4 linked regions of the Rattus norvegicus genome follow. The protein of the gene in region 1 interacts with the protein of each later gene in a biochemical or structural test. Links are inferred from orthologs where the notes say so. Each region holds a gene or a part of one and is shown on either strand. Other genes may lie near its edges. The genes, in order: Bmpr1b, Bmp2, Bmp7 and Gdf5.

Evidence for each region.
Region 2: the proteins of Bmpr1b (region 1) and Bmp2 form a complex in vitro, tested with the Homo sapiens proteins (3 studies listed by BioGRID and IntAct, with this or other methods). The link is inferred for Rattus norvegicus from reciprocal best matches to the Homo sapiens genes BMPR1B and BMP2.
Region 3: the proteins of Bmpr1b (region 1) and Bmp7 form a complex in vitro, tested with the Homo sapiens proteins (2 studies listed by BioGRID). The link is inferred for Rattus norvegicus from reciprocal best matches to the Homo sapiens genes BMPR1B and BMP7.
Region 4: the proteins of Bmpr1b (region 1) and Gdf5 interact in a biophysical measurement, tested with the Homo sapiens proteins (3 studies listed by BioGRID and IntAct, with this or other methods). The link is inferred for Rattus norvegicus from reciprocal best matches to the Homo sapiens genes BMPR1B and GDF5.

The regions. Positions count from the first base shown.
Region 1 is NC_086020.1:233,211,590-233,216,535, forward strand, and holds part of Bmpr1b (bone morphogenetic protein receptor type-1B), read right to left. Parts: intron 3,653-4,946; coding exon 3,527-3,652; 3' UTR 1-3,526. UniProt on the Homo sapiens protein: On ligand binding, forms a receptor complex consisting of two type II and two type I transmembrane serine/threonine kinases.
Region 2 is NC_086021.1:141,263,198-141,268,883, reverse strand, and holds the start of Bmp2 (bone morphogenetic protein 2 precursor), read right to left. Parts: upstream 3,361-5,686; 5' UTR 3,117-3,360; intron 2,065-3,116; 5' UTR 2,058-2,064; coding exon 1,715-2,057; intron 1-1,714. UniProt on the Homo sapiens protein: Growth factor of the TGF-beta superfamily that plays essential roles in many developmental processes, including cardiogenesis, neurogenesis, and osteogenesis. Induces cartilage and bone formation.
Region 3 is NC_086021.1:182,131,438-182,137,055, forward strand, and holds the start of Bmp7 (bone morphogenetic protein 7 precursor), read right to left. Parts: upstream 3,710-5,618; 5' UTR 3,286-3,709; coding exon 2,871-3,285; intron 1-2,870. UniProt on the Homo sapiens protein: Growth factor of the TGF-beta superfamily that plays important role in various biological processes, including embryogenesis, hematopoiesis, neurogenesis and skeletal morphogenesis.
Region 4 is NC_086021.1:164,915,226-164,920,908, reverse strand, and holds the start of Gdf5 (growth/differentiation factor 5 preproprotein), read left to right. Parts: upstream 1-2,315; 5' UTR 2,316-2,553; coding exon 2,554-3,166; intron 3,167-5,114; coding exon 5,115-5,683. UniProt on the Homo sapiens protein: Growth factor involved in bone and cartilage formation. During cartilage development regulates differentiation of chondrogenic tissue through two pathways.

The sequences.
Region 1 (4,946 bases):
AATAACAACTGTTTGTTCCCTAACCGTGAATAATTACAGTATATACAAATTCCCTAAGGCACTGGTTCCCCAAAAGTACACAAACGAGTCTTGTTTTGAAACAGACAGAAAAGAACGCCCTCCCCCCACCCCACCCCGCCACCCAATATTACCAATTTTTCTGTTAATATGTTTCTATGGCATTAGTTTCTATAACAATTAGTTCAAACTGTTCAATTGTATCACTTTTGATGCAGCCCCCTTCTTGTGTTCTTTATGAGACTGGGGTTTTCTTAGATGGAAAACATGTTCAAGCTTAAAAAAAAATGTATTCTCACTACCTTTCAACCCACAAACCAAGAAGAGTGACAACAGACAGAAAACAGAAAGCCCCTGATGAATGAGGGTGGCCCGAGGAGGAACAAGAAACCTGGTCATTACTAAGTACCAATGGAAGTAAAACCCGGCATGTCCCCCCAAGAAGCTTCCCACTGGGGGAATATAAAGAACAGGCAGTAGTGACGTCACGGTGCTCTGTCTGAGTCAGACATATTGTTTACTGCTCTTCATCTGTGAGTTAACAATGTTCATGCTTCCATAAATAAATATTAGGTTTCATCTAGGACTTTATCATCCATAATATTTTACTTTCTAATCCACATACTAGGGTTGTGCCAGACTCCAGAATGAACATATTTATTTACATATACATCTCTATATTTATATAATATATACACACACGCACATCAACCATAAACTTGGATACGCAAAGTTCATCTAACAATTAATAATTTAGGATTCCTTTGGGGGAGAGGAGTTAGAAGGAAATCTTGCTCTTTGAAAGAGTCCTGAGGGTCAGCAGCAGTCAGTTATATTATTAACGTGCAGGAAGTTGAAGCAAAGGATAAAATAAATGCATATTTTCTGAGATGCTAGAAGTTTAAATGTTATCATGGATTACCGCGAAGATAACAGGTAGTCCTTAACAACAACTTAGTTGTCTCAATTAGGCTCTACTAAGACAGAAATTATATTCATAAATAAATTATAAATTCTTACTGAAAATTCATAATAACTGAGTGGATCTTTTAAAGGATCTCCATAATTTCAAGATTTTCATACTGAATAAATAAGGTTGATAGTTAGCAAATAAACGGCTGATTTTTTTTCCCCCAAAGCAGTAAAACGAAACATATAGATGGAATTTGGACACTTAAATCCCCCCCCCGTTCTTCACAGGAACCCTGGAAATCTAGAACACTTTACATCATCAACAGCCTCATCCAAAACATTCTGATTTAAAGTTGCCCACAATTAAAAAAGAAAAAAAATCTACCAATAGGAAAACACAGTCTGAGCTAAGAGGTTCCCCACAACCTCACTCAAACCTAAGATAACGAAAACCAAAGCGTACCCACTTAACTGGCAAAATGCTTACATAGGTGTCGGTAGACAGATCTGTCTAGAGGCGATAATGTTTTCCTCCCAGGCTCAGATGACTGGCACGTGTTAGGTAGAAATATATGGAAAATCTGTCTGTGGCAAATATAATTTAACAGAGAAAAGGCTCTCCCGTGGCTTAGCTTGCCCTGGACTCAGTAAGACCAAAATGTGATGACTGTTAAATTAACAACCAGTTGTTTTTATCTTTTCAAATTCAAGAACTGAGAAAACCTATCTTAGTGGCCCTGCAGCACCGCACAGTGAATTACAACGCAGAGGAGCGCTTCTCTTTACACTTCTCCTAAACTCCAGGTACAGCTCAAAAATATTGAGCTCAGGATTTTTTTTTTCCAGATGAACAGCCCACCGGCTGAACATCTACTCGAGAAAAAGAGTCAAACATTTGCTCATTTCTCCTGCAGCTGTCAATTTTTCCTAAGGTCTCCATGCTTTCAAGCACCCAGCGGTGAGATGCATAGGACAACAGTGACCCCTGGAGGATTCTGGAAGGAATTGCCGTTCTCTAAGGCACAGCAAGTTCTTCCACTTTCTTAACAACCAGTAGGCAGTTTCTAATCATTATGGAAGAAACACAGTAAGGGACTACATGAATAAAGTTGAGAGGAGGGCCGTGTGTCATTACACTTTGTTGCAGTTCTGTTTCTATGGAATAATGGTCGTATCAGTGATTTTGCACAGAGAGTCAAGGGTTAAGACCTCACAGGACCGAATCACAAGATGTTTTGTACAGAAACACTGTAAGTTAGTAGTGAAATGCATACAAGAGTAAATGAGTCCTACCTAAGGTGTGAAATACCAGGTAAGAGGTCCATACTGGACTCATATCTGTTCTAGTAGAAATCACAACAGCCATGATGTTGGATGTCCCCCATTCACTTTCCTCTGCTTATTTTTAAAGTAAAGGCTAGTGACGTTAACCCAACAGAAACTTCCTCTCTGTCTCTGAAGTTGGAGACTTAGAAAACACAGCAATATGAAACTATACATATGTACACAAGCTGTGGCATCCATACTTCTCTCCTGGGGTGCTGTGATGGGTTTAGGCACAGGGAGGAAACAAGCCATCTACATCTGCTGCACCTTCAGCCTCGGCTCTGCCTCACTGGTATGTCTTTCTTATGACACAAGCTCCAATCACTTCCATTTAAGAGTCCCTTGTCTGTCTGTCTGTCTGTCTGTCTGTCTGTCTCTCTCTCTCTCTCTCTCTCTCTCTCTCTCTCTCTCTCTCTCTCTCCCTCCCTCCCTCTTTCTACCACACTCGCGACAGTTTTATTTAATATTGATCTTCTGATTTACAAGAACAAAAGCATGCCCGTGTCGATTGATTCTCCGCTCATGAGAAGGCTTTGCTGGTGTTTAATGAAAGCAGGGGTTGGGGGGGAGGGGCTGGAATTGCCTAAAAGAGCTGCCTAACACACCCAGAAGCAGGAGTGGTTCTGAAGAAGCCACCCACACATAATCCTATCAGTGACATAAACCCTTCATTTGTTCCACTCTGGCTGAAGCTGCAAGAGGATTTCAAACTGTGGTCCCAGGCATTTGGGACTTGTATGCATGTGCATTCACACTGCACTGGCAGCTCATAGCAGGGCTGGCCCAAACAGTCTGAGGTGCCTGGAGCAGGGAAGCAGGTAAGTTGAATTCTAATTTATGTTCACAGTCTGCTCTGTTTTCTAGAGTGCAAGAGTAATTTGCCAATGGAAAAAACATTTTGACTTCCAGGAACGTTTCTAGGAAGAACTTTTGTTATTATTTAAACTATGACTGTATAAACCTCAAAACATCTACAATATTTGTTTTATTTTGGTAAAAATTAAAGTATCTTTCTTCTTTAAAAAAAATGGTAATCCCAAAATACAGGGCTTTCTTAGAAAGCAACATGCATCATATCTTGAACAAGTTACCCAAATGGTTTCCCCTCCTCAGAAAGCCATGGTGAATCCGTGTTTCTGGGTTCCTCTGTGTCTGTCCAGCTTGCTCTCTTAGAGGAAAGTCTGAACTCACTGGGCAGTAGATCAACGTTCAAGGCTTGGGCTAAGGATGCTTCTGTGTAATTCCTTGCTCTGTCCACAAGTACCTGACGTCAGAGTTTAATGTCCTGGGACTCTGACATTTTGGCAAGTGTTTTCTTAACTCTCAGGGCCGTCAGCCTGGAGGCAGGATTATGCGCCCAGCACTCTGTCATAAGCTTCCCCATTTGCCTGAGGCACTGAAAGAGAAAGGGACGTTGGAGAGAAGTCAGAGAAATGTGCTCTTTATACAGAACTCAGAATTTGGCTTTCAGTTGGTGTTCATGAGGTCTGAAGCTATTTTTAAGGCACCAGTAAAGTATGAACACCAAATTTCACTCAAACTTTTTCATGTGAACTGTTTATGACTCACCCAGACTCTCATATTTCCCTCGTGACAAGAGAAAACACGAGGCCTTGAGGAGAGAGAAGGATGACTTTAAAGACAGGATCAAGCAAACGGGATGCTCAGAGAGTCTGAATTCTACTCCCTAGATTGTTTACAACACATAATGTATTTCAACATTTTAACTAATTCTGCACTGCTCAAAGAAACACTGGTAATTCTAAATCACGCAAGTCTGCTCTAACAGTAGCACGATGCTACACCACTTAACAAGATTAATGACCTGTGGATAGGTTTGCTAAAACTTTCTCCTGGATTTGCCTGTGGTCTATCAATCGTTCTTGCTGCAAGGCACGATTTCCCTTCATTAAAAATCATCATTGAAGAGCTTTCAAGTGATACCAATACCCACTGTCTACCCCCAGAAGAATAGAACTCCAGAGCTTCTTGAAAAGCACATACTAAACAGATTGGACAATACTCCAGGCCAATGAGCCAGTTAATTGAATTTCCATGGGCATCTTACTTTATGAACAGCGTTCTATGCACCTGACTTTGGTGGGCCCAGAATGTGCTCCAAACTCTTCTTGAACTTCCCAACATGCCAGAGGCTCAGTTGTGGGCAAGTGAATGCAGGAAGGTGGATGGAGAGACACTGGAGCAGAAAACAAGTCTAAAGTCCAGGTCTGTCCCACTCACTTTATCCAGCCTGGCATCAGCCTTTCCCACTTGCTTGGGGTTCACATTTAAATTCTTACAATAAATAGATTTGCAGTTTGAGAAAATATACATTCAGTACATAAGACATGCTTATATTATATTTATATTCATGTGTGTACATACATACTTACACAATTATATATACGTAATGTATTATGTATATATAATATATAATTTGATAACCAATTGAGAAAGACTATTTCCAACTTTCATCATGGACACACCTAAAATCATATATGTACAAGTAACTCTATTCAGCCTTAGCAGGTTTTGTGTGTGTGTGTGTGTGTGTGTGTGTGTGTGTGTGTGTTTGTAAAACAATACTTTGAAAAATGGAGGTTATGGATTTGAGAAAGAGCACATTGTTCACGAAAATGGTTTGGGAAAAAAGAAAAAAAGAAAATAATTATATTTAAATTTCAAACCTT
Region 2 (5,686 bases), on another chromosome or scaffold:
AAAAATACAATTTTTCTTGTGAACGGAAGCTCACTAAGTTTTAAAATAAGACACCTAGATAGCGTTTTGCCTGTGTTTTTATCAAGCCACTTCCAAATGAAGACTGAGAATATGTAGATTTTATTGACAAACCTTACATTCAATTGGATTTTTGAGTTTTAGTTGACTTAAATGATGCTTTTAGCTTAGTTAAGATAAAGATAAAATAACTCGTTCATTTTTTTTTACAGGTAAAGAATAATTTTTTTCACATTAGAAAATACTAATAAATAAACAAATACACGAATAAATTGTTTTCCTGCTCTATCTCCAAAGGCAGTGGGAAAAACAGCTGTGCTGGCTAGTGGTTTTGTTTGTTTGTTTTGATCTACAAAACATTTTCCAATAAATATTAACCCAGAAAGATTAGCTTAGCCCTGGGGACGGGGGCTGGGGGTGTACATTCTGGAATCTCCCTCTCTCAGCAAGCAGACCCTAAGGAGCAGAATAAGGTCTCACTATCTTTCAATACTGAACGTTGTCCCCAGAAAACCTTAGACACCAGTTTCTAGTGCCCTTCATAACCATTGGCTGCCTCAAGGAAGATACACCCCTTGCTATGTGACCTGCCGGTGGCTCTTTTTCCTATTATCAACCAGACTTCTCAAAGTTTGAGTCATCCCTTATTGGGGATGGGGGTTGGGCTGCCATTTCAGAGCATAGATTTCTACTTAAAATGTATCCTCTCAAGAAAGGCAAAGCGAAGCTTTAAAAAGGGAACTTCTCTCCTAGCTCCCCATTGTTCTATAAATTGCAGCTCACTGACAGACAACTCTGAATTCTTCTAGAACTTGAAGGAACTGATATCCTATTGAGATTGCATTAAACCAAAAGCACATTTAAAGTGACACACACGGAATTGAACTGAGGCACGATTATTATTATTATTATTATTATTATTATTATTATTATTATTATTATTTTTACTAACTGCTATAAGGACATTGGCACAAGAGACTTCAATAGGCCTCTACAGCATGTCTTACCCACTAAATCTCCTTCCGAAGAAATAAACATTACTCTACCTTGGGAAACCATACTCATATCGTATTTTTTTAAAAATTCCATTACCTTGTCTAGGAAGGTAGCAGGCAGTGGGAGAAAATGCTTTTATCTGAAGGCTTGACCTGTCTCCACTTGGAGACTTAAGAGTTAAGCAGGAGAAAGGAAGGTCATTGGGGAAACAGTATGATGGATTGTGGAATTGATCTCCCACGGGGATTAGATAGGGATTCAAAAATCTTTCAAACGAGGCCCAGATGAACAGCAAATTTGAATGCTTTGGGGCCCTGGATTTGATTTGTTAATACTACCTCTGCCTAGCTTAAAACTCCAGCCTGAACACAAGCCACAGATCTGAGCTTCCACACAGATTTAAGGAGCCCCAACTCCCTGCCTTCTGTGAAATTCTCCCACAATGAGCTGACAAGGGGCTAGCCAGTCTCTCACCCTCTTCCCCATCACTCGATTTCCCTCCAGTTCTAGTGGGGAGGAGTCTGTCTGCTGGCCACCTGCCAGGAAAAGGGTGCGGACTCACCAGTGGGGAATCCCTGGCTCGGGGCCACAGAGGGGACGGTACAGAAGCCGAAGGACCGTCCACTGTGCTAGCGGAGGCCCGGGCTGCCCACTGAGTCTCCGCCCGCTGTCCCCGCCCCGCCACCCGCCGCCCGCTCACCTTCGTGATGGAAGCTGCGCACGGTGTTGGCGCGGCTGGCTGCCCTCTCCAGCCGGTGGTCTGGGGCGGGCGCTCCTGGCTGGCCCGAGTGCCGGCGGTACAGGTCGAGCATATAGGGGGGCACCACGACGTCCTTGCTGGGGGTGGGTCTCTGCTTCAGGCCAAACATGCTGAGCAGCCTCAACTCAAACTCGCTGAGGACGTCGTCCGAAGGCCGGGACAAGGGGCGGCCGGATGCCCCGGCGAACTTCTTGCGGCCCAGCTCCGGAATGAGGCCGGCCGCGCCGCCCAGGAGGACCTGGGGAAGCAGCAACACTAGAAGACAGCGGGTCCCGGCCACCATGGTCGACCTGCGGACAGGGCCGACGTGAGTCACCCACGTTCCCCGCCCAGTCCTCCGCCCGCCCCCGCGGCCCCGGCTCCCACAGGGCTCGCTGGCCTTCTCCAGGATGCCCTCCTGGCATGTCATCCAAGCTACAGCCTGGATGATCAAGAGGATGAAGAACCCCTAAGTCCCAGCCGGACTTCTCACTTGGGGCTTGGTCTTAACTCCCAATTTAAAAAAGAAAAATCAATGACTGTCTGTCACCTTTTCTTGTGACACTAGCTAGTAAAGCCTGTGTCAGGAAGCTGGGAACCCATAGATTGTTCGGACACTGCATCCCTTACAACTATACTGCACAGCGTTCATTTGCACATAAACAGACACAAATGCACAAGTGACTTCCTTAGAGGCGCCGTATAGAACTTCCTGGTAGATTGTAGATTCAGAAAGCGGTAAACTAAAGATTAATACTAATGACGCCACTTGCAAGTCGTGGCCTACGCCCCTAACTTCAAGGTTGACCCACAGGCCACTCTGTCCCCTTCTCCAGACCCCTGTGCAGTCAAGAAATCCATGCACCTTTCTGCAATGACCTAAATAGATAGTGTCTATAAATGCACGTGTAAGCTGTGACACATCCGCACAGTCAGTAAACACACACAAAAAGAACCCCGACTTTTAGTAGCTTCCTAAATGGGACCTAGTTCTTAAGGATAGCGAAGGATCTCTAAGGCTTGGAGTGCTGGTGGGCAATGAACTAGTGAAATCCACCGGCCATACTCTCTAAATGGATTTCTGCAATTTGGGGGCGGAGGAGGGGGTAAAGCCCAAAACAGCCCTGATAATGTATTTAAAACTGGGGAGGAGGAACGGGCTGAAAGGAGGTCGCAGACCAGGTGGGCAAGACAGAGGGATCTGGGGTTCAGAGTGCCTGACCCCTCTAGGGATCCGCTCGCTGCACGTGCACCGGGAGAGGGTATGTTTACGTCCACTCCACCGGTCCTCCGAGGCGCCCAGCGCCGCCGGGCGGGAAGCGGTGTCACCCGCCAGCCCTGGGTCCGGGCCCGTGTCCTCTACCTTTAGGAGACCGCAGTCCGTCTAAGAAGCACTAGGGGGCACGTCCATTGAGAGAGTCTCCACATGGAAAAAGCTCTGTCCGAGGGACCTGGAGCAGCGACTGGGCTTCTGTTGCCTTTCTTCACCTCCTCCTTCTCCGGGTGTTCTCCCCGAAGGGAACCGTGTCTTGGGGTGGGCCCAGCCGGCCAAGGAACAGAGAGGTGACCGGGCTGGAGGCGGCGGCAAGACTGGATCCGCCGGGCGAGGACACCGGCGCGAAGTGGGGAGCCCAAGTCACTCTCCCGACAAGTTCAAGAAGTCTCCAGCCAAGTGCTGACACACAGCCTCAAGCAGGGGGAGGAGTGCGGGGCAGGGACGGGGAGGGAAGGCTGAGGCAAGGCTGCTGCTGTCGTCTTCCTCAGGGACCAGCGCTGGCGGGGCGCGGGGCCGGCTCCGGGACTCGCCGGGCGAGGGTCGGACGTTCTGCGTTAGCTGGGCCGCGACCCATGGCTCGGGGCAGCCATCGTGGGCGACGCCGGGTCCCGGCAAGGGCGCAGCGAAGATCTGGGTGGCGGGCGGGCCGCCACTCCGCATCCCTCAGCCTGACTCTGGCGCACCCCCATCAGCGCTCGCCAGCGGAACCCGCACGGCTGCGGCGTCCCGGCGTCCTGGGGCTCATTCTCGAGACAGTCCAGCCGCGCGTCCCCGGCTGCCAAACCGGGTGACCTCACGCTCCGAGCCCTCGGGCCAAGTGTCTTTTGTGGCAGCCTGGGGTCCGATCACTCTTCCTGCTCGCCTCGGGCGCTCACTCTCGTGTCGGAGTAGCCCAGCGTTGAGGGTAAGACTGTGCTCCGGACTCCCGGCTCTTAGCGTCGGTCCGCGACTCTGGCTTCTCCCGGACAGCTGAGGCCACAGAGCCGGGCGCGCACAGTTCGCAGCTCCAACCGGTGTCGTGCCGGCCCCTCGAAGCCCCGGGTGACCCTCGCGTCGCTCGCCCTGAGGGCGTCCGATGGCCGGTGTGGGCTAGGGAGGCTTCGTCCCGAGCTGCCAATCCCGGGCGGGCTGTGGGAAGCGCAGCGGCGGGCGCAGTGCGAGCCGGGCTCTGCGCGGCAGGGCGAGGACTCCGGCGGCGACGACGGAGGCGCCGTGGCGCGGCGCTCGCGGCTTTTAAAGGAGACGCCGCCTGCCGGCTCCCTCCCGGCCGTGGCCGAACACCTCCCCCTCGGAGGCGCAGCGCGCTGGGGATCCCCGGGCGGGCGGGAGCAGCGCGCAGGGGTGTGGACGGCGCGCCCTGAGGGGCGGCCGCGGCGGGGCGGGGCGGGGCGAGCGCGCGGCCGCTAAGGGGTCGCGTCCCGGCTGAGTGTAAAGCAGACCCCCGGGACCAGGATTCGTGCCCCAGATGCCCGAGTTTAGGGCAAATTCAGGGTAGGCTTGCCTCTGAGTTCCCCCACTGGGCCAATATTCAACTTGAGTTTGAAGTTTTTAGGTAAGATCACATTAAAAAGAAGAACCTAGAAGTTATCAGACATGTTGGCAAAGATGTGAGCAAACGCTTCTCTGTTTTGAATGGTGAGAAGAAAATGTCAAGAAATAGCCAATACACATTCGAGTGTATTATTACATTTTATAAATATTCATACATTTATATGCGCCCATGTGCATATATAGTCAAATAAATGAATCTAATAAAAGATGTATATACATATATGTATTCATTTATGTAAATTATAAAAATGAGGGTACAGGTTCTGTACATAGATATACACATGTAAAGTGGATGTCCCCTCTAGTGTTTGTGTGTGTGTGTGTGTGTGTGTGTGTCTGTCTGTCTGTCCATGTGAGGGGACAATGGGAGTTAATAGAAGTTCTCTTTATAGAAACAATCACTTCCATACTTGGGCTATTTATCTCCCCTCCCCCACCCACCTACACCAGAGGCAGGTAACAAGACATTTCTGGTTTGAGACTTTTGAATTTTCTGTCTGGCCCTCTCCACTAGGTCTCCAGAAGCAAGACTCTGACTGTGGCTAAGCCACTTTTCTTCCTCAGCTGGAATGTCCCCAAAGCTGCTGATCCAGGATTCGTTTTGAACTCTTTCCACTTCTCCCTCATTTCAGGAGCCTTCATACATACTACCACCTTGTTGCCCACATGACCCCCAAAGCTATGGGCAGAACATTTCTGTGGAAGACCAGATTGGTAATACCAGGTTCTGAATCAGATCTTTCAAGTTTGCAAAGCAAAGACAGAGAAAAACCAGAAGGAGGGGCTTTAATAATCTATTATCCGTGTGTATTAGCTTTTCAGTTGGGAAGCTAAAATAACTCTAGGTTCTGCTCACCTAAATCAGATTAGCAACCCACAGAGGGAAATTAGGCCCTGGCTGTTTCTAGAGCTGTAAAGGGCAAATAAGGTACTTTGAAGGAAGGCTGCCTACTAGGAAAATTAAAGGAGAAGGAATAGATTCAGCAATCTGCAATCAGTTACTGTATTCCTTCTTAAGATGTGTTGTAGAAATTGTCACTCTAAATCGTGAGAGACCAAACAAGAAGGCAATAAAACACTCCACTCAGACATGTAAGCCAAAAGTG
Region 3 (5,618 bases), on another chromosome or scaffold:
GAGAGTGTGGCCTGTTTTGAATTCCAAAATGAAGTCTACCCAGAGGAGTAGGGGGCTTGTTAATCCAAACCAGTTTACAGATCTTGTCATTGAACTTCGGGGCCAGAGCCAGGAGGATGGGTGTCCCACGCTAGCCGGCTTTCCCAGGGACTTTATGGTTCAGGCTGGTCTTTGTCATCTGGGGCAGTCAAGTCCTCACACGCAGCACCTGGTTTTGCTGTAAATTTTCCTCTGGTGTGGATCCCACTAGGCCTGGCAGACTGCTCGAATTCCAGGGAGAACAACTTACAAGAACAAAAACCAGTTTGGCTGCAGACAGGAGGAGAGAGGCAGTGGATCTGCAAAAGCCTTCAGGGTTGAGGCAGGGGGTCCCCCAAGCAGGCAGGCCTGAGGGAGAATGGCGGAGGTGTGTGGGCAGAGGTGTGTGTGGAAGGCAGCCAGGGGGTCCGGTCTCTGGCACCAACACCAAATGCTCTAAGGGTGACAAGGGGTGGTTTGACAGGAACCAGGACCTTTTCTCATTCGGGGAGCAAAGGGTAAGCGTGAACCTGGCATTCTAAAACTTGTCTATTTCTGACCAGACTACGCTTTCTCAGCAGCCTCAGTGTGGGGATGAGTCTCTGGGGGTCGCTACACCCTTCTTCAACCCAGCTGCCATCCCCAGGTCATAGCAGCAGGAGCAGGAGGCCTATGCCTGTGCTGTGGCCCAGCAGAGATTAAAGATGCACCTACAGGAAGCTCTTAGCAGCTACAGTCTGGGGCTTCCCCTAATTACCTCTAGCTTAGCGAGAGAAGGAGAGAGAGAAAACAAGACCCTATCCCTGGGTCCTGTTAAAAGCCACCCTGCTATCTAATTAGGAGTGATGGTCCAGAAAGCCATGCCTGAGAAAGGACAGTCCCACAAAAGCCCACGGCCAGCCCCACTGATTAAGAGGCTCAGACAAGCCAGGCTTTGTCCTGTCAACATGAAAGAAAGAACGGACTGAAAGAAAGGTGTGTGTGCAGCCAGAGGAAGCCACCCAGCTGTGGCCTCCCCAGCAAGCCCCAGCTTGTACCCGAGGGAGGCCGGGGCTTGGGGGTGGGGAGCAACCGCCCCTGCCAGGTTCCCAGCAGGGCCCTGGGAGCTGCCCTGGAAGCCACCTGGCCCTTTGGGATGAGGGAAGCCAGCTGGGGCCACACGGCCAGACCTGAAACACAGAGACTGGCACCAAAGTCTGGGATTATCTGTTGCAGCTCGATGGACCAGCTCTGAACTGTCAGCTAGGACCCACTCACTGGCTTCCTGGAGATCACACCGGAGAACAGAAGAGGCCATAAGCCCTGACCCTCACCCAGGGCCTTGTTATGCCTGCCTTCAGGATAGGTTCGCAGATCCACGTTGACCACATACTGCTAAGTCTCTATTGAGGAGTCGACTTTAGTTTTTGGTAATAAATCCACATTTTTTTTAAAAAAATGGACGCAGTGAAAGGCGGCCTCCCTCTCCCAGCACACCAAGCCCTACCCCCAGGAAAAATCTCTTTGCAATTGGCCTTTCCTACCTTCAGGGTTTGGAGGCTATCCCAAAGCAGGACCTCTTCTTAACAAGTGTCTGAGGAGAATTTGAATTTGCTCTGTAATATTTTGTCAGCTCTATCACAGGCCTTTACACCCTGACCCTTGCTTGATTCATTATTTGACACTTTTTGATCTTAAATGGAAACAGACAATGGTCTCCCAGAAGCTCCAAGGCCTTTATCTGGAGCTGAGAGGATTAACGTGGACCCTTTCTTCCCGGAGATCCCTTCAGAGCCCCAGGTGCCCAGTGAGAGAGAAAAGGGGGGGGGGGTGGCCTTAAGCTTCATTATTTCCAGGTTGACGGGCGCCCATGGTGTGTTTGGTGTCTTGACTTGGGGTTTTCTCAGCAACTTCCACAAGCAGAAGAAAAGTGACTCAGGAAACAGCACTATCAGGGTGTGTTATCACCAAAGCCAAATATTTGATGGCCAGCCCCACAGCGCACGGTTGGGGGTTAGTTTGAGCAAGTTAGATACTTGTGCGCGCACAGATGCAGGGGGAGCTGTCTCAGACCAGCCGTAACCCAGCCTCGCATCCCTTGGTTGGCTGGAACTACAGTATGGAAACGGTTTCCCCAGCCATTCCATGGCGGCCTCTGTTCCGAGGTCCCCAGCCACCCAATCGCCAAAACCCGTGGTTTGCGCGCCACACGTGATAAACGCTGAAAATGGATTCTGCCCGCCCGGGACCTATCATTAAATATTTAAAATAGAAAACTCGCAATGGCAACGTTCTTTCCCCGGCTCCAGCCGAGAGTCCAAAGGTGGGCGACTGGCGGCTAGGAGAGGAGCCCCGCGACACTCCGAGCGCGCGCCGAGAAGGCGCACCGCAAAGGGACAGGTAGGGCTGGCCAGAGAGGGCAAGGAAAGGGGATGTGCGAGATGCCAGAGCCAAGCTGGGCTCAAAGGGGCGGAGGAAAGGCGGGAAGGCAGCTTTACTCTCAAGGGCCCTTTAAATCCAGGTAGCGCGGGCCGCTGAAGCCGGTTCAGCTCACATGACCCAGCCGGGCGCTTTGAACTAAGCCGCTGCCGGGCCGGGACCTCCCGCCCCTGAGTGAGATGAACGCGCGGCGGAGCAGGCAAAGAGACTCAGGGCAGGTCCTTCCCTCTCGGTACCCCCCACAAACCCTCCGAGCCGGCAAGACTCAAAGACTCACAGAGCTTAAAGTTTACCAAGACCCGGGGGCAAGAGTCTCTGGCCGGCACTGATGCTTTGCAAATGGGAAGGTGGACCACAGTGGTTGAAAGCAGGCACCCTCTCCCTGTCCCAAAGTAGCCCTGGTCTGAGATATATCACCTCCTACCGCCACTCACCTAGGTTGACGAAGCTCATGACCATGTCGGCGTCGGTGAGGAAGTGGCTGTCCTGCAGGCTGGCCAAAGGGGGACCCTGGGTACTGAAGACGGCCTTGTAGGGGTAGGAGAAGCCCTGTCCGTCCGGCCCACTCTCCTCCACCGCCATGGCGTTGTACAGGTCCAACATGAACATGGGCGCCGAATTATGTTTTCCCTGGAGGTGCGGGCGCGGACGATGGGGCAAGCCCAAGATGGACAGGATTTCCCGCTGCATCTCCCGCCGCTCCTGACTGCGGAGGCGCCGGTGGATGAAACTGGAGTGCACCTCGTTGTCCAGGCTGAAGTCGGCCAAGGCAGAGCGCAGCAAGAACAGAGGCGCCCAGAGCGCCACGAAGCTGTGTGGCGCCGCAGCGCGCAGCGAGCGCACGTGCATCGCGCCGGCTCTACGCGCGATCCGGGGCACCGGGCCCGCGCCGCCCCAGGTGGCAGCGGAGGGGGCAGGGCAGCGGTCCACGACCCGAGGTCACTTGCTGCAGACGAGCTTCACCGTGGCCTCGCCACTCATGGCCACTCCCTGGCCCGCTGCGCTCTGCCCGAGACGCCCCAGTCCTCTACTCAGTTCTGGCCCGGGGCCCCTCGGCCCGCACTCGCCAGGACGCACCGCAAGGCTAGCACAGCAACTCCAGAGAGAGAGCAAGAGAGCGAGGAGGCGGGCCGGGGTGGGAGGAGCAGCAGTTTGCAGACCTTCAAGTCCGGAGAGCGAGTGCCGGGGAGGCAGCAGGGCGCTGGGCGAACCCTCGCTCCCTCCTCCCACTCTGCTCGCGCTCGGGCCCGCGGGCACCAGCGGGAAAAAAAAACCCTTCCGATCTCCCGCGCCCCAAACAAGGACCCCAGGTCGCTTCTCCAGTCCTGCGCGCCCCAGATCGCCCGCCAGCCGCCTCGGGAGCCCCGGAATGGGGCGCGCTGGGGCCGAGGAGTGGGGGGAGGAGCAGGAGGACCGACTTCCCCGCCCCTCCCGCTCCCGCGGCCTCCCACCTGCGCCTGTCCCCGCCCTCCCCAAGCCTGGCCCAATGGCTTCATTCATTCCTCCCAGGGCGCTCTACAAATATTTACCGAGTGCCCACCGGGTGTCCGGCACTGGGACGGACGCCTCAGGGGCGCAGAGAGAGGAATCCGAGGCTGCAGCCCTCTAGAGACTCGCACTTGGAAGTGGCCAAAGTGTAGCAACTATAGGCTGTGCTAGGAAAGCATCCCGGAGGGAGCGCAGGAATCCGAGAAGGCTCCTCGGAGGTGGCCACTCTTGGACAAGGCTCATCTTTCGAACCTCCCGAACACTTCATTTGCTCCAGTCAAGCAGAAACACCCGCCCACCCCCGCCCGTACTCCCACCGCCTGCCAGCTTCGGCTGCCCTGGCTTTTGCTCCTCAGGGAAAGTTCTCTCCCTGCCCCTCCCCCTCGGGTGCCACTTCCTCTGGTAACCTTCCAGGACCGAAGATAAAGTGGAGATAAAGTTGTTTCCTCCTACAGACGTTACTTTTATTTTCTGCACTTCACTCCCCAACACACACAAACACACACACACACACACACACACACACACACACACACACACACACACACTGTCATCGTCGTCCTCCTCCTCCTCCACCTACCCCTACTCCTCTTCCCTCATCCTCCTCCCTCCTCCTCCTCAGGTTCAGCACCCAAGGGATCCGGTACAGGTACTTCGAGGCTTTTTTTTCCCCTAGTATTTTTGAACTGCGGATCCCCAGATGTTGCAGCTCTGCAGAGTTCATAAGTGAAATCTGGGACTAGAGAGTGCTCCCACCCCCTCCTCTTGGGGGGGTCCACCCACCCCTTATCCTGGCACAAGGGGCCAAAGCCTTACTGTCTAACAACCCTACCCCCAGCCCCAGGTAGGGCCTGAGGAGTAGGGAGTTGGGCATTGTACCCAAGTTCAGGACAACCCCCCCCCCACACACCCACACTGAATTTTCCTGTCGCAAAGGACTAGCCTCCCTCTCTTCACAGAAAGAAAGGACCCAGACAGATGCTGGAGCTCTCAGTGGATAGCTGCTCTTTAGAGCCTCGGTTTCCATTTCTGAAAAATGGGAGCAAAACAGCATTCACTCAGAATGGCAGTGAGCTGTGGGGTGGTAAGCCAGGCCTCCCTGCTCTGCTGAAGGCGGGCTCCAAGAATATCCATGGGAGTCTGAATTAAAGAGTGGCAAGAGGGGCTTGGGAAGGACCTTGAGTAGAGGGCTCCATCTTGAAGTCCTAGGGTGAAATGGGACAGCCTGGTCTTCCGGGCTTCTGGAAACAGAGATAGCTACCCTAGGGCTCTCTGGGCTCCTTGGGAGGATTTTAGACCATGTGGCTGCCTGAGGGGCCGCAGGGATGGCCCCAAAAGAGACCTGCAGGTCATAGTCCAGGCTGTGGACACCAACAGTACTGTGTCCCCTGCCAGCACAGCTCTGAGAGGCCCCTCCCTGGACCTGCTGTGGCTTGTGAGCTGAGGCCACTCAGGCTGTGAGCTGGAGACATGACCTCCAGTGACCAAGTTACAGTTCTTAATATTGAATAAACAAAGGGGCCCTGCCCTTACTTCGGAAGGCTGTGTGTGGCCTTCTGTGGCCAGCAGGAGTGCCACACATAGGCCAGGCAGGAGGACATCAGAGTGATCAAGCCAGTGTGGCGACCTCCATGACTAGCTGGTTCTCAGGCCCCCGGAAACATCAAGGAGGTCTGGGACAGAAGCATGGCAGT
Region 4 (5,683 bases), on another chromosome or scaffold:
CTTTGAGAAAAAAAAAGCACACAGACTTTAAAAACTGACCTGCATTGGAAGTAGGGGCAGAGACTGAGGCTGGATGGATTTGAACTCTGAGAGCAGAAAGAAGCACAGAAAGTGTGCAGTGGCTGTTTGGAAGCTTCATGACTTCTCTGAGGTGTAAGGGCTACCTTTGTGCGGTCGCTAGTACATGGGTCAGCTCTTGTCCGTTGGGTAGGCTTCAGTTAGAAGGAGGGTTGAGGTTCGGTCCCCAGCTCCGAAAAAAAGAACCAAAAAAAAAAAAAAAGAAGGAGGGTTGAGATGGGAAGGTCCTGGAAGGCAGTAATGAGGGAATTGTAGTAGATTAAAGGGCCAGGAGGGTAGGGCAGTGACGGAGACCTCAGGAAAAAGATGCCAGAGAGGACTGTGAAAGTCAGTCACAAGCGAAGACCAGAGTGATGACCTGGATGACCAGAGGGACTGTAATAAGTTCAAACTGTCCTCAGAACTCCTTAAAGAGGGTGGGTGGCGCCTTGGTCTGAAGTGAGCTCCTCTTCAGACTTAGGAGCTATCAGTGAAGACTTGAATGGAGCTAGGAGCAAAATTATGAGGGGTGGGGGTTGGGGTGGGGGAGAAGAGTACTTGCTGCTCTTAGGAAAGACAGAATTCTGCTCCTAGCACCACATCAGGATGTCTCACAGCTGCCTGCAACTCCAGCCCCAGGGGACATGACATGATGCCCCTTTCTGGTCTCCTCTGGCACCCTCTTTCCATACATACAAATAAACAAAACAAATACGAGAGAGAGAGAGAGAGAGAGAGAGAGAGAGAGAGAGAGAGAGAGAGCGCCTAGATCTGCAGAGTGAGGACTTTGTTTGGTGTTGTCTTGGTGAGGACTTTGTGCACGCTAACCCTGCACTGGACTACTGAGTGACATGCCTAGCCTCCAGCAGAGAGTCTCTAGAAACCGACTTAGCATATGAATGAATCTGTTAGGTCAGCTCTAAGAGCAGAGGATTAATAAGGAAAGCTAGACTAGGTGGTGCAGTTCTATAATCCTACTCTGTAGCCAAGCAGGTGGAGGTAGAAGATCAGGAGTTCAAGGCCAGCCTTGTATATATAGTGAATCTGAGGCCATCGTGAGTTACCTGAGACATTATCTAAAGAAGAAAAGGAAGAGAGGGAGAGGGGACTCTCTTCAGTTAAGCAGGTATTCAATTCTTCACCAGCTCCTAGAAAAACAACCCCCGGAGAACTTGTTTTTCCAACTTCCTGCAGGGGTCGCTGCTGCCTTAGGCTGGGGCTGCCACCTCGGGCCTCAGCCAATTTCTAAGAAAACTGGCGGTCTTTGCTTGGGTAGTGGCTGAGGTACGCACACCCTGGACCTGTTTCCAGCCAAGGGGGCTACAGGATGGCAGTGCTCAGCCAATGGCATTTGGTGGGGGTGGTATAGTGGGCAATGACTTTTTTTTTCCTGTTTTTTGGGTCACAAGTTTATCAAAATAAAAGAAAGTGTGGGTAAACGCTGCCATCTGTGCTGTCCTCAACACACGCACACACATGTGCACACACACATATATACACACACACACACCCTACACACCACACTCCACACCACACACACACACACACCCCACACACACCCCACACTCTACACCACACACACACACACACACACACACACACACACACCCGAGGTCCCAGATGAGACAGAGAGATTGAAATTGCTTTACAGACACTCCAAGGACTTCACTGAAAACCTACCTCGCATGTTTAGTCCCTGCAGGTCTCTGCACTCGCTCTTCAATCTCTCCACTCAGGATGGTGGGGTGAGCTGCTCCAGGAGGTGGAGGTGAAGACCCCTGAGTCTACTCTGGGATGGGGAGGCCCCCTAAGCCTGAGTCCTGCTATGGGGCTCTGAGCCAAGAGCCCCCATGAGCCATGGCCTCCAAAGGGCAGCGGTGATTTTTTTCACATAAATATATCGCACTTAAATGAATTTAGACAGCATGACATCAGAGAGTAATTAAATTGGTTTGGGTTGGAATTCCGTTTCCAATTCCTGAGTTCAGGTTTGTAAAAGATTTTTCTGAGCACCTGCAGGTTTGTGTGTGTGTGTGTGTGTGTGTGTGTGTGTGTGTGTGTAAGTATTTTCACTGGAAAGGATTCAAAATTAGAGGGAAAAAAAACTGGAGCGCACAGGCAGCATTACGCCATTCTTCCTTCTTGGAAAAATCCCTCAGCCTTATACAAGCCTCCTTCAAGCCCTCAGTCAGTTGTGCGGGAGAAAGGGGGCGGTCGGCTTTCTCCTTTCAAGAACGAGTTATTTTCAGCTGCTGACTGGAGACGGTGCACGTCTGGACACGGGAGCATTTCCACTATGGGACTGGATACAGACACACGCCCGGCGGACTTCAAGACGCTCACTCTGAGGAGAAAGCCCTGCCTGCCGCTGCTGCTACTGCTGCCACCGCTGCCTCTGAAGACCCACTCCTTTCATGGTTTTTCCTGCCAAGCCAGAGACACCTTCGCTGCTGCTGCTGCCTTTCTCTGTGGTGTCATTCAGCGGCTGGCCAGAGGATGAGACTCCCCAAACTCCTCACTTTGTTGCTTTGGCACCTGGCGTGGCTGGACCTGGGACTCGTCTGCACTGTGTTGGGTGCCCCTGACTTAGGCCAGAGACCCCCAGGGGCCAGGCCAGGGTTGGCCAAGGCGGAGGCCAAGGAGAGGCCACCTCTGACTCGGAATATCTTTAGGCCAGGGGGTCACAGCTATGGTGTGGGGGCCACCAGTGCCAGGGCAAAGGGAAGCTCTGGGCAGACACAGGCCAAGAAGGATGAACCCAGAAAGGTGCCCCCCAGAGCCAGTGGCTCTGAAACCAAGCCAGGACCCTCTCCCCAGACTAGGCAGGCTGCAGCCCGGACTGTAACCCCAAAAGGACAGCTTTCTGGGGGCAAAGCATCTGCAAAAGCAGGATCTGCCCCCAGCTCCTTCTTGCTGAAGAAGACCAGAGAGCCTGGGACCCCTCGAGAGCCTAAGGAGCCATTCCGCCCGCCCCCCATCACACCCCACGAATATATGCTCTCGCTGTACAGGACGCTGTCCGATGCTGACAGAAAGGGAGGCAACAGCAGCGTGAAGCTGGAGGCTGGCCTGGCCAACACCATCACCAGCTTTATTGACAAAGGGCAAGGTGAGGGGGTGGGGTGGCAGGGAGGGGCATTTGCACAGACCTAGAAGTTCCAAAGTCTTGGAGTATGCAGGTGGGGGACAGTGTGTGTACCCAGCCTAGGGTGGGAATCTGGAACTTATCGTACCTAGGGACCTTGGAGTTCAACTTCTGCAAGGTGCAGAATGGACTCTAAAATGCAGAGAGGAGCTAAGATCTGCTACTTGGACACTAGACTCCAAGACCCATTCTTGATTACTGAGAGGTACTCTGTACCCCCGTGGGTTGGTAAAGTCTCTAAGCTTCGGTTTTTCTCAGAGAGCAGAGAGAAGGAAACTTTAGGTCCCCATGGTTCTTCAACTTTACCCTCAGATAGGGGTAGAGGGAGCAGGCTATGTGAGGACAGAAAACTTGTCATCTTGGAGTCACAGAGAGAGGCAGCTGGCTGAGGGCACACGGAGTCCCTTCTTCCCTGGGGTCTCTTCTTATAGGTATACTACACGGGCATTGGACGGGGTGACAGCTGAGCATTCTGAGTGGGAATCAGTAACCTGGGAGAGTACTTGTCTTTCTTGCGTCGCCGGAGGTCTGCCCACCTAGTGTTTCAGGCTCTTCCTCTCAACTTGCTGTGTGTTCTCAGCAAATCTCTTCCCTTCTGAGTCTCAGGTTCTCCACAGTGTGGAGATAGTTGGGCCGGTGGCTGGCAGTTGGTGAGGTTTCTTGCGGGTTCACAGGCTCTGGTGCTGAGTCTCGGGACTTTGGCTGGCAGGGTGGGGGAGGGGCCAGAGAGTGGGAGAGGCTTCTCATTAGAGTTGGTCTGTAGGGGAATGACAAGGGGGTGGGGGAGGTACAGAGGCAGCAGGTCTGGCAGAGGTGGGGGAGGTGGCCTGGCTGCCTGCCCAGCCAGGGAAAGCTGTGACCCCTCGAGGGCTCATAAAATAAGTCCTTGTGTCCCCCCCCAGCACTAAGGGAGAGAGGGGAGGGGGAGATGGGGAGTTTAAAGGCCTAATTAGTTACCTTCTAGAGCAATATTTGAATGTTCCCTAATGGCATATTGGCATTTAGGAAGGAGGGCATGCTGATTCAGAGATTACACACACACACACACACACACACACACACACACACACACACACATACACCCTTATATTTTATACACTCAGTAAATGAATCATATACATACACACATACATATATAGCATCATTTTCAAGTATTCATACAATCCCAACTCTACTTACATATGCCAGTAGCATATATATATATATACACATATATATATATCCATCCTTATACTTACTCATGAACCCAATTGCACACACACACACACACACACACACACACACACACACCCACACCTGGAACACTCATATACCAAAAAAATCATGAAATTGGGAACTTGGGAAGTTGAGTTTGCAGATCGGCTTTGTTACTGATTTGCTGTGTTACCCACGTCAGTTTCCTCCCCAACTCTGTGTCTTGCCCATAGCAAGAACGCTAACATCATTAAGGTATGAGAAGCTCAGAATGGACTATTCAAATTCTAGGCTACAGTTTTACTTCTCTATTTTTCCCCTAGCTAGATGACATTGAATAAGCCCCTAATTTACTCTGCGCTTCAGTTTTCTCCTCTGGAAAAGTGGGTAAGACAGGTACACACCTCCTGTCTTATTTACAGGAGATAATCATGCTGGATCATGGATGGGGCGGACACTGGTAGAAGACAGTTATAAGGCCAATGACTCTAATACACATGGGCACAAACATCAGGGGCACTCAGATAATACGCAGCCTCATACCTACCTTCATTGGGAAAAGGGCTCTTGGTGGTTTGTGTGTTGGCTTCAGCCATAGTGGGGAAGAGGTTAGAGAAACCTCTTTTGATTGGGAGAGAGCTAGGTCCTCTCTGGAGACCCAGAGGTGGCGGGCTCTCTTGGTGAAGTGACAGAATTGACTTCTGACTGTTTTCTCTAGATGACCGAGGCCCTGTGGTCAGGAAGCAGAGGTACGTGTTTGACATCAGTGCCTTGGAGAAGGATGGGCTGTTGGGGGCTGAACTGCGGATCTTACGGAAGAAGCCCTTGGACGTGGCCAAGCCAGCGGTCCCCAGTAGCGGGCGGGTTGCCCAGCTGAAGCTGTCCAGCTGCCCCAGCGGCCGGCAGCCGGCAGCCTTGCTGGATGTGCGCTCCGTGCCAGGCCTGGATGGATCTGGCTGGGAGGTGTTCGACATCTGGAAACTCTTCCGAAATTTTAAGAACTCAGCGCAGCTGTGCCTGGAGCTGGAGGCCTGGGAACGGGGCCGGGCCGTGGACCTCCGTGGCCTGGGCTTTGAACGTGCTGCCCGACAGGTCCACGAGAAAGCCCTGTTCCTGGTGTTTGGGCGTACTAAGAAACGGGACCTGTTCTTTAATGAGATTAAGGCCCGCTCTGGCCAGGATGACAAGACTGTGTATGAATATTTGTTCAGCCAGAGGCGGAAACGGCGGGCACCATTGGCCAATCGCCAGGGCAAGCGACCCAGCAAGAACCTCAAGGCTCGCTGC